Drosophila melanogaster: one gene and its partners. The protein of the gene in region 1 interacts with the protein of each later gene in a pairwise test. Each region holds a gene or a part of one and is shown in the gene's direction. Other genes may lie near its edges. The genes, in order: CG10616, CG4955 and pie.

What was found.
Region 2: the proteins of CG10616 (region 1) and CG4955 interact in a two-hybrid assay, tested with the Drosophila melanogaster proteins (one large-scale study listed by BioGRID).
Region 3: the proteins of CG10616 (region 1) and pie interact in a two-hybrid assay, tested with the Drosophila melanogaster proteins (one large-scale study listed by BioGRID).

The regions. Positions count from the first base shown.
Region 1 is NT_037436.4:12,469,896-12,473,651, forward strand, and holds the start of CG10616 (uncharacterized protein), read left to right. Parts: upstream 1-1,832; 5' UTR 1,833-1,941; coding exon 1,942-2,034; intron 2,035-2,126; coding exon 2,127-2,301; intron 2,302-2,651; coding exon 2,652-2,742; intron 2,743-2,811; coding exon 2,812-2,937; intron 2,938-3,030; coding exon 3,031-3,078; intron 3,079-3,289; coding exon 3,290-3,756. UniProt on the Drosophila melanogaster protein: May play a role in the trafficking of a subset of G-protein coupled receptors.
Region 2 is NC_004354.4:17,079,311-17,083,066, forward strand, and holds the start of CG4955 (uncharacterized protein), read left to right. Parts: upstream 1-2,136; 5' UTR 2,137-2,273; coding exon 2,274-3,340; intron 3,341-3,412; coding exon 3,413-3,756. Other genes in the region: CG4949 (uncharacterized protein), read left to right, coding at 1-276; CG8945 (uncharacterized protein), read right to left, coding at 1,113-1,276, 1,370-1,559, 1,649-2,010.
Region 3 is NT_033779.5:10,421,030-10,424,785, reverse strand, and holds the start of pie (pineapple eye), read left to right. Parts: upstream 1-2,005; 5' UTR 2,006-2,142; coding exon 2,143-2,256; intron 2,257-2,323; coding exon 2,324-3,756. Other genes in the region: Wdfy2 (WD repeat and FYVE domain containing 2), read right to left, coding at 1-52, 116-242, 303-415, 688-1,035, 1,106-1,266. UniProt on the Drosophila melanogaster protein: Required for survival of imaginal disk cells possibly by regulation of cell apoptosis. Required for germline stem cell self-renewal through mediation of BMP signaling.

The DNA.
Region 1 (3,756 bases):
ATGAAACGCTGCTGACGATGACGTTCGAGTGCCCTCATGCCAGAGATCCAGAGCAAACGCAAACAATCGAACAGGAATAATTTACTAAGTAAATAATATCTGGATACCGATCGCTGCACGGTAAGAAATTGCGTAAACCGGTGACCCATATTGCTCAGCAACCAAAGAAACCTTTCAGCACTGAGATATTTTTCATTCCATTGTTTTCTGGGATAATTTAAAGTAACAGAATTATCTTCTTACAACATTTTTTTGTCTTAACTTGACAGTAAGAGTTCTTAATTAAAGTCTGAAATTTTTAAAAATATTTTTTACGATTTTTTTTTACTAGTTTACTCAAGATCTATAGCAATATTTAAAGAGTTGAATCAATGGTCTCTATGGAATAGTGTTATATATGGTATATACATATTTCGTAACCATTTGATCCCAATTTTGGCCAGTGTAATCCCCGCGAGTAGCGTGCGCCCTCGCCCCATCAAGTGGCACTTCAACAATCAAGCATTCACACAAGCAGATGGTCCGCAGCCGTTGGCGACCACCTAAATGAAATTTCATTTAGTTTTTTTTCGCCCGTCATCGCCGCCGCAATCGCAACCCGCTCCTCGAGATCTCCCCATCCATCGCAGTCCATCCAATCCATCCGTCCAGCGCAGAGTTCCAGCCCCAATCCCAATCCCAATTCCAATCCCAATACGGTCTCCTATTTGCTTATGCACACATTATCAACGTACGCCCGCCTTATGGAGTGTTTGTTTACCTAATTCGATTACCGATCGCGTCCGTTCGCGCCATAGTCCACCGGCCACTTGACCATTTGGGTGGCACGGATCCGTACTCATGGGGTCCGCTCTTCGGCCAGACGTCGTGCGTAATCGCCCCACGGCAGCTGATGCAGTGCAGCGGAATTGGGAGATGGAGATGGAGATTATGTTGCTGCTGGAGCCGGGGGCCTTAATTGAAGAACCTGCCACGGGGGTACATACATACATACTTTCATCGCTTTGCAGTCGCGGAGGTAAATTAAGTCTTAATATCCTAAGTCGAGTGTCTAAAGATTAGGAAAATAAACACTCAAGGACTTTATCGATTCGTAAAGAAAAATCAAAAGTAAACTGCAATTACATTTCAATAATAAACAACCCTATATCAAAGAGTCTTCTTTAAATTACTGCTTGTCAATTTCTTAAAATTAATAAATAAATCTATTCAATCATGTTCTAATTGATAAAAGTAAAGTGTGCCTATTCTCATAAAATTTGTATAAACATTCAGGGAGTTATTTAAATAAGGTATATTTACGTATTTATACGTATACAGTTATTGAATGTTATTTTTTTTTTTAAATGCCTCGCCAGGAGCTGTTAAACATATATATTATATTATCTAGATGTTGCACATGGTATTTGAAACACTTTTTAAATAAATCTTGGACAAACATGTAAAATTTAGTAGTTATTCTTAGTAAAAAAAAAGGGTAATGTTGTTTTATTAATTACACTTTTTAAAATTTCGAATATATTTTTAAATTTAACAGTTTTCTAGAGATGGCAAGCTTTTTTAAATAAACTTCGTTAAATATCGATAAGAATTTACCTCATAATCCATACTTTTAAAATATAACCTTCGGTCACACCAATTCATAGAGCTGGTGCGTATCGATAGTCGGCACATTCAAAATAAATAAATTCCCAAACACCATTTAATTAAGGTCAATGGACTTGATTGTGGCGTTATTTTTAAAATCCGAAAATAAATAGCAATTGAATTCAAATTTGAATAGCTTAGCACTATCGCTCACTATCGAAATTTAGCCTCGATAGCAAGTATTCGATTACAGCTACTATCGTGGGGGGTGTACCCAGCTCTAAAAATTTGTCATTTCGGAACGAATATAGTTAACATTAAATTTACGAAGTAAACAGAAACCCCAGAGCCACGATGCGCACAGTGCTGTTGAGCAAACACGACGAGCTGTACCTGGAGAAATGCGCACAGGAGAACCAGTTCTCGTACGGGATAATCGTGGGCCATGTAAGTGCCATCCGCCACGTAGATTTTGTTTGGTTCCCCCGCTCAACTGAATCTCCACTTTCTCCTGGTTTCATCCGCTTCGGTTGAAATAGCAAGCGGATCTCACCAAGAGCGTGGTGGTCCACCTGGCCAGGAACAACGAGGAGGATGCGGATCTGGAGGACCTGTCGGAGGTCCGGCTCACCATCTCGGACATCAACTCACAGGCATTGGCCTCCCAGTGGCTGAGCGCCAGCAAAATGTGTCCCGGATCTTTTGACGTCATCGGTGGGTTTGCGTGCTGCCCCTGCAGTTTTATCTGCCCTACCCAGAAATAATCATAGTCATAATGCTAAGGCATATTATTTATGGGGACCTTGTATTCCTCCCGTGGATTCGAAATTTAGCCAAACCCTTTTTTTTTGTATGTTTTGTATATGGGCTAACCCACCCAATTTGACTGTTTAATCTGTCAATTCGAAACTTTTGATCTTTCGTCATAGATAAATCTTTAAGCTATCAGTAATGGGTAGTGAAACCAGTAATGTAAACTTAGGTACTTAACTAAGATGAAAGTAAGCGAAGCTTTAGGACTTACCATCTAGAATTAATTATTAATGAATTATTTATCTTTGCAGGAATCTTTGTGTCTTCAGTAAGATCCGATGTAGTAAACGAACAGAGCGCCGAATTTAAGAATGCCAAAAAGCTGTTTTCAGATATTTACGAGTAAGTCACTAACTATATGAGTATGATATGAGTCTCCATTTGAAATGACCTCTTTTCTTACTTTTCCAGTTTGCTCCTGAAAAGCAACAGCTCGTTTGGCGTCTACACCACCGACATTGCACAGACTGATTTCGTATTCCTCTCGTATTCGCTGGCCGACAAGAAAGTGCTCTGCAAGAACTACAGCTATGGCAAGTGAGTATCGGAAACGTAATCCCTGATCACAGATACGGGTCTCAATGTGTATTCTTTCTTTCACCAAACGAATCGCTTACAATTTATAACTAGACATTGCAAAAAAACGTATTTTACGGCAAACATAAAATGCATCATATGGTAACTAAAAAGTTGAGAACTATGTACTTTCATAACTTATGTTCTATGTTCAATAATCACTTTCTTTGCTATCCTTGTCCTTGTGTTTCTTATTTCTTGGAATGCATTTTATGTGTTAGTTAACCATTAGGATTGTTCATGTTTATATGGTAGTTTGATTACATTCAGACTTTTCCTAGCCTAAATATAATATGAGTATTTCTTTTGATAGCGGCGGCACTTTCACCAATATGGAGTTCCGGTTTGTGGACAAACCCTTCGAGTGGATTCAGCTGGAGTGCAGCTACGATTTCGATGATGTGCTGCCCATACTGGACTCCTCGCGTCGCGTCAACATCGAAGACCAGTTCCAGAGTATGATAGTGTCGGTGCGCAAGAACCTGCTCGCCAGTGAAGTATTCCTCCAAAACGAAGTTGTCGAGGACACCATCGATCTGCAGGCCTATATCAAAAAGAAAAAGACGAAAGTGGACAAGCTGCAACCGACATCGACAACAGGTGGCACGGCCACTGCCTCGAGCAACACCACTGACTCCCTGCCGCGGCTTGCGTCCGAAGGAATCATCGGAGGCACTGAAACCATCCGGGCGAGCATCGTGCTCCCCATGAAATGCCAGCTGAGCAAACCGACGGACATCAAGGTGCGCGAATTTAGTGGCACGCTGCACATGAGCGGCA
Region 2 (3,756 bases), on another chromosome or scaffold:
CGTCCTGTGATGCAGCAGTGCTCCACGAACAAAATGGTCCGGCAAATTGCCAAGTGCTCCGCATCCTTTGTGAATTACCGCGAAATCCTGGCCAATCTGGCGGAACAGAAGGCGGGCAAAAGCATCGACACCATTGTGGTCATGTCGCAGGAACCGTATCCCATGTCAGCAGCCCAGTTCAAGCTGCTTATTGGACTCTATTTCCACGGCAACGAGTGCCACACGAATTTTGCCAAGCTCTCGGCCAAGATCATGGTCTCCCAGAGATTCGCCTAGACGAAGGACAGAAGTTTGGAGCCACTACAGTGCCTTGGTAACCAGTTCCTGAGTTTAATCATAGCTGGCAGTATTGTAGTTATTCGCCGTATGCTCTTGCTTTTCAAACAATACTTACTTAGAACGTTTACCTTATGCATTATTAAAACATGCATTTTGTCAGGTTAGACGAATATTTTCAAAGCTGGAACGAATTTTCCAATCTCGAACGAATTTCGAGTTATTAAGACTGCATTTCCATTTTATTGACTTAAAGCTATTCATATTGCCTTCCCAAAAGATATCCAAATGGGGAACGGTCGAATATTTAAGAAAATGAATTTATAAAAGGCAAGGCACGCTATATTATATCCGCATATAATACTAAGACAGTGCGTACATTTGGCAAGAACTTAAGAAATACTGTACGTTGAAAATATCTCCCTACATGGCATCCATGCAAAATGTTATACGAAAGCGAAGCAATCGAATGCTCGATCAAATATAAGACTTTATTATAGTATACTATTTAGTCTAAAAGGGATTAAAACTACCAAAAAAAAATTGCTGATAATTAATTATAATATACATACATATAACAATAATATTTATTATGCTAAACGGAAATCTCAACTTAAGGGAATTTATATGAAATAAAAAAAAAATTTCGAATGCATAAGATACGTAAATGCAGCTAAAAGTATTGGAGAATGTATTCCGGAAATACGGCTAGTGATCTCCGGAACGCAAGCCACCAAAGCCCGTTTAAAAGGAACTAAAACTCATTCACATGTAGCCCCACCCCAAATCCCTGCTGCCTTCGTCTTCGATTGGAATCCGATCTCCGCATCCCAGCCTCATATGTAGTCCAGCATGCCGCTTATGATCTCAAAGGCATCCCGAGCCGTGGGCTCAATGGCGCTGCTGGGCAGCAGATAACCGTGCACTCCGTTGTCCGCCAGCTGGAGCGTGTAGCTGAAGGGAATTCCGATCTCGTAGGCGGCAAAAGCGTCCGCACAGCCTGGATAAATCAAGGAAGCCAAAGGATTGGCAAGGTCGGATAAAGATCTCTATTATATTCTACTTCGAAGCAAATAATATAAATATTACGCACCCGATCGCTGTTCAATTAGATCGTTGGATGCGTCGACCTTATATCGGGACTTACTACCCTTTTTGCGCAATCCATCGGTACCCACCATCGCCACGTCCAGAAAATCATCCAATCTTTCTGAATTGAAAGTGGAATTGGCCTTGACCGGATAGGATATCACCTGACCATAGGCCTGTAGGGAAATGTAAAGCTGCAAAAATAATGAATAAAGTTAATAAATCAAAAAATATATCTATTTTAGAGAGTTAATATAAAAATTATATATTGTTCTAAGCATACCTTTATCTGCGTCCTATAGTCCATAAGGAACTCAGATACTGCCTTGGTTTCCGGTTCAGAAAATGGCGCTGGACCGGCGTAGAACTCATTGCAGGGTGCCTTGGAGCTACCCCGTTTGCCCCAATGATACAGCCAGTTTCTGTCCAGGTCCACCCCGTAGCAGACCTTATCCGGACCCCGTTTTTGCTGGAGCCATGTCATCGCCGAGTCGAGGAGGCCACTGGGAGGTGGAGTCTGGTGCTGAGATCGCGACTTCTTCCAGAAACGATCGTACTCGTGGCTGTACGCATATCCGTCCGGATTCAGGACCGGCATTATGTACCATGTGGTGTTCCGGATGAACTCCACGTCCTCGTTGCTTTCTGTTGAGTAAACGTTTTATGGGTTATTTTTATACATAACTTTACATAATGCATATGAAATAAATGTTAATAAATATTAATTCTCTTAAGAAAATAAATACGTTGTTCAACCGATCAACGTAGCCGCTTTTCCCCAACTCAAATTACATTAGTTATCCCTTTGTCAGTCCGTTAGTCAGTATATTTGTAGACCCAGAAATCGATAGTGTATACTTTAGACCTTTACAGCTTGCCACTTCTCCTCCAGTTGGACCAAGATCAGAATGGAGAGGCGAAGACCCCGAAAGTCCTCGCGTAAATACGTGTGCTCCAAATCAAACTCTTCAGTTGGAGGAGGAGTAGAGGAAGACAGTGGCTCATCATTGCCTGCCACCGCCAAAGCGTTACTCCTCCAGCCGGACGGTAATAAAGCACCAACCATGACATCCCTTCTGGGCGAACGACTCAGAAGAGTTTCTCGCATCGCAAGAGCTCCGCACAGCCTACAAGTTACCGAAAATCCAGAAGAAGGTGGAGCACCAATCGTACCACTAAGAGAATCCGGCGCATCGGAAGTGTCAGAAGTAAATCCGGGGGTTATGGTCATTCCGGAGTCGGCCAGTCCCCGGGGATCGGCGGTGCATGGACAACACGCTAGCTTGGTCTTCAGTGCTGAAGCCAGGGATTCGGACAGTACGCGGATATCGGAGGAAATGGTGGAAGTGTTCCAAACCTCTTCGGCGAGAACCACATCCAATGAGCCCGCAGGGGGCAATCTGCGCTTTGAAACCACTCCCGTGGCTGTAAGCGAAAGTATGGTTGGCAATATAAACTTCTCCCCGAACGCCATCTACGATCAGAACAGGTATAGCAGCATGATGTCCAACGGGGATTACAATAATGGCAACAGGGGTGAGAGTGAGAGGAGCGTGGGAGCCTGCCACCATGGTTGGGCGGCGCGACAACAACAAGTTGCCGCTGGACCTGCCGGCAGAGACACCCTGGGATTCGCCATCAGTCTGGGCGCCGCTAATTTGGGCCAGAACCGATGCAGTCTGGGCGTTGCATGCGATGAGGACTGTGGCTATGGAACTGGCTGTGATTTTGGATGCGGTCAGGCCCATGGCGTTGATCCCGGAAGCTTTCTAGGTCCGGGAACCATGGGAACTGGTCCATTAATATTGACAACGGGATCAGGAGGCCCACCTGTACAGAGCGCCCTACGAGGAGCTCAAGGTGGCGGCTATAAGCAAGTTGGCGCCGGGCAGCGGGGAACTTTTGGAACAGATTTCGGAAGTGAGCAGCTTAACTTCTTCATTACCTTCCTATTGGAGGTCCTCGGTGTTTTAGTGTGAGTATATATTTATATATTCCAGGATTGGATCATTCCAACTCTATGATAATCTACGTAATCTTCCATTAGTTTTTTTGCCATCTGCACGATAACATTTTGGATTACTCTGGGCTACCATGTTGTCCAGTTGCTGGTGGACCTGAAGAACGCCGATCGCAACATTCAGGTGGCGGTGGCCATTGTGTTCGGGCTGCTGCTCGTTGCGTTTGCCATATCGCAGGTGACCAACCTCAGTGGTTCCTGCTGTCATTCACGGGATCGAGCCCGTTCCAGAACCAAAGGTGGTGGCATTGGCTTCTTTCACAGATCCACCAAGCCAAAGACCAAGAGCTGTGCATCCAAAACCAAGACCTGTGCTCATAAGCCGAAGATTAAGAAGGCAGCCACTTGTGGACCCAGCCTGGGCTTTCACA
Region 3 (3,756 bases), on another chromosome or scaffold:
GCTTATCAGTTGTTGCGTGTGATTCGCGTACGACAGGGCGGAAACTTTGTTGCTACATAATCAGAAGTGCCGATTACTATCTTATTTTATGAATATTATTTAAGATTGGAGATACCTATGTCCCTGCAGCTCGTAAATGGTGCCACGTTTGCCACCAACATCCCAAACTAGCACGGACTGATCGCAAGCTCCGCTAAACAAGAGCTGAGGGCCTTCCACCCATTTGAGGCACCGGATTTCCGCTAAAAATTAACCAATTCGTATATAATTAGCTTACTAAATATCATTTGTAACTTGTTTACCCGAATGTCCATTGAAAGTGGTAATTAGTTGCACTCCCTGAACATCGCACCTTAGCATTGTTATCTGTCCAGCATGATCGCCCACAAAGGCATACTTGGCCAAAGCGTCGAACCTAAACGCAGATTATAATTAATTATATGTTGCTTATAGAATATTTCGCACAGTGCACACATTTATGCCAAAATTTTGTGTAGATAAAATGACTCAGTTGACACGTCATTAACAATAGAAGGTTCTCAAATTCTAAATGAATTCCATAGCCGTGAAGAATTGCAGTTTATTGCCGTGTCAAAGAAAGCAGTTTAATCCAATTAAATGACCCGCTTATCCCATATCCACTGTCGCACCCCCTTCCCCCTTTCACCATCCATTTATCATACTTACTGGAGAGCCGTGCATGGTGTCTCAAAGTTGTATCCGCCCACCCGTTTGCCGCTCTCCGTGCAATGATAGGCGAACTGCTTATCTTTGCCGGCGGAGAGTATCCACTTGTGGGTTTTCGAGAAGACCACGGCCATGACCCGCGCTTGATGGGACAAGTAATCCCGCAGGAAGGACAGGCGATTGCAGTCTTCGGATAGCGCGTACTGGGTGACCGTTCCGTTTTCCTGGCCGACGTACAGGTGCCGGGATTCCGAAACGTACTCGATGGCCGTGCAGCCGGAAGGCATATACTGGCAAATGCTAGGCCAATATTGACCAGAATCGCGTTTTAGCCAAACGCGAACGGTTCTATTGGGGAAAACATGAAAATGTCAGGCATACCATTTGTGTATATTTTTAATGGGCTACAGCTACGCACTTGTCATCGGAAACGCTAATTACGCCGTTTTCGCCCGGAATTAGGATCGCTGCGTTCACATCGTCGCTGCTGCCCTCCAGCTTACTCAGCAATTCCGGCTTTTTGGAGGTGTTAAAGCGATCATTGTTGGTCCGCTGAGCTGGTTTTATCTCGGCAGCCATATTATTTAAGGTGGATCCAGTCCGATGGTACGCCTACGCCCTATTTAACGCACTCGATGATAATGCGGTTATAAACAATCCGATTCTCGGACTGGGGAAGGTGAATGGAGATACGTGATTCACAATCAATTAACAAAACTGTGTTATTTTGTTTAACATTAAATATACTGAACTTTGTTGTTGGAAAGCTCGTCTAGATAGCGACGCCAAGTTTAGGAATGCTGCGGAATAGTGGAATCGATGAAATGAAAATAGAATCTTAATTGTTAGATATAGTTTTTGCGTATTATTGTATATTATTTTGCTATTAAAAATACTGAAGGTATTTCGTGTGATGTGTCGCAGCATTATGTATGCATATGCACGCACCACATTTTATAAACATACAAACGAGCATTTGAATCTTGAATCTCAGAAATCGCTTTATAAATGTATAGTCTTATGATTTTCATAATGGCATATCATATCTAATAAAACCTACGGACCACGCACAGTTATGTTTCCGGTTATCATGCTATTTAATTATTAATCACAAAATATTTGTTTATATTGTGTTAAGTTTTTAATACGTTAAAATTTATTATTACACATAAATAAATAATTTTATTATAAGTAGGGTTAACGCAAAATATAGCTAGTTAAGCAGATTAGATCATTGTGAGTGTTGCTCAGTGGAAACAGAGCTTTTCCAAAAATGTGCTTGGTGGAATTGAAGTATAATAAGGCGCTGTTGTATTTATTGTTTTTCAAAATCCTTGCCCGCCAATAGAGTAAAAAAGGAATGCAAAACATGTTGATAGTTTTAAAAATTATTCATAATAGCACTCAAACGAGTTGATCTGTCCAGCAAAACTAGTCTGAGCGGCCAGCTTACAAATGGAAGATAACAAGGAGCTGCAATGCTTAATATGCAAATATTCGGACACTGACGACCTGGTCTTTGGCGAATGGATGATTGTACGCAATTTGCAGGTGCACTATTTTTGCCTGGTAAGTGCGATTGTTGTGAAATGAAGAGAACTCCCGCTAATGTAAACTTCCTGATCCAATCCACCAGCTACTCTCAACGCATTTGCCGCAGCGCGGCGGAGATAGCAGTGGAATCCTGGGATTTCTGCTTCGCGATATCCGCGAGGAGGCAGCCGCCGCGGAGAAGAGGAAATGTTGGTACTGCAATAAGATTGGGGCCAGTTTGCAATGCGATCGTTGCCGGTCATTGTTTCACCTGAAGTGCGGCCTGGAGAATCGCGCCGTTTTCGAGTTCTGCGGCCAATACAAAAGCTACTGCTACAAATGCAGGCCGATGGATGACTACAAGCGACAGCTGCAGTCGAATCCGCCGAGGAACGCCACTTGCCCCATCTGCTTCAGTTCCATCTATAAGGTAGAGCTGCATTGCGTTGTGTACGGTGACTGCTGCCGCCTCGGATTCGCCCATAAGAAATGCATGCGTCAGTACGCTCTGACCTCCGGATATTACTTGCGTTGCATTTGGTGTCGTTCGGAACGTTTCAGGGATTCCATACGCCTGCAGTCGGTATTCGTGCCCGATCGCGATGCCACGTGGGAGAAGCAACGGAACGCCTATAGGGAGCTCCACGAGCGCAATCTGAAATGCGACCAGCCCAACTGCCTGTGCCCCAGTGGTAGAACTTATAATAGATTATCGTGGGTGATACTATGCTGCAGTTCTTGTGCCGCCACTTCGGCTCATCTTAAATGCTTGGTGGGCGCCCTGCGACTGCCGAAGAAGCGCGAGCGTACAGATTTCAAGTGCTCTATGTGCCTGGACGTGGAGAGGAGGATTGCTGAAGGACCGGCTCGCACAACAGAAGAAACCAATGCTGACGGCGACAACCAGGTGGATGGCTCTTTTTATGTGCAAAAATTGGGACCCGATGCTGCAACTCGATCCTTAACCCAGACTCCTGTTTTCTCCGAAGAAGACGAAAGCGAACGAAGTAGTAATATCACGGTTATATTCAGCCAACCGAAATCTAACGCAACAAGCGAGAGGTTATCCTTATCGCCGCCACAGGAGGAGATGATAGTGGAAATTCCTGATTCGCCAGAGGCGTCGCCAAAGACGTCCATCGATGAGAACCACTCGCCGCAGCCAATAGCAAGAAGGGACACATCCGACTCACCACAGCCAATAGCAGCAAGTGAGATCCCCGACTCACCGCAGCCAACAGCAGCAAGTGAGATCCCCGACTTACCGCAGACAACAGCAATAAACGTAAACCCTGAATTAACGCAGCAAACAGCATTAAACACGATTCCACACTCACCGCAGCCAGAAGCCAGCTTCTCAACGCAGCTAGTATCACAAACTTTCGATTGTCCACAGCCGCAGGAACAAGCTGTGGCGAAAGCTCCCAACTCACCGTCACTGCCGAAAGAGGATCCAAATACTTTACTTGTGCTAAAATCGGGCTTTCAATGCCCTGGCGAACCATTTTTCTACTTGGTTATCTACGAATTTGAGCA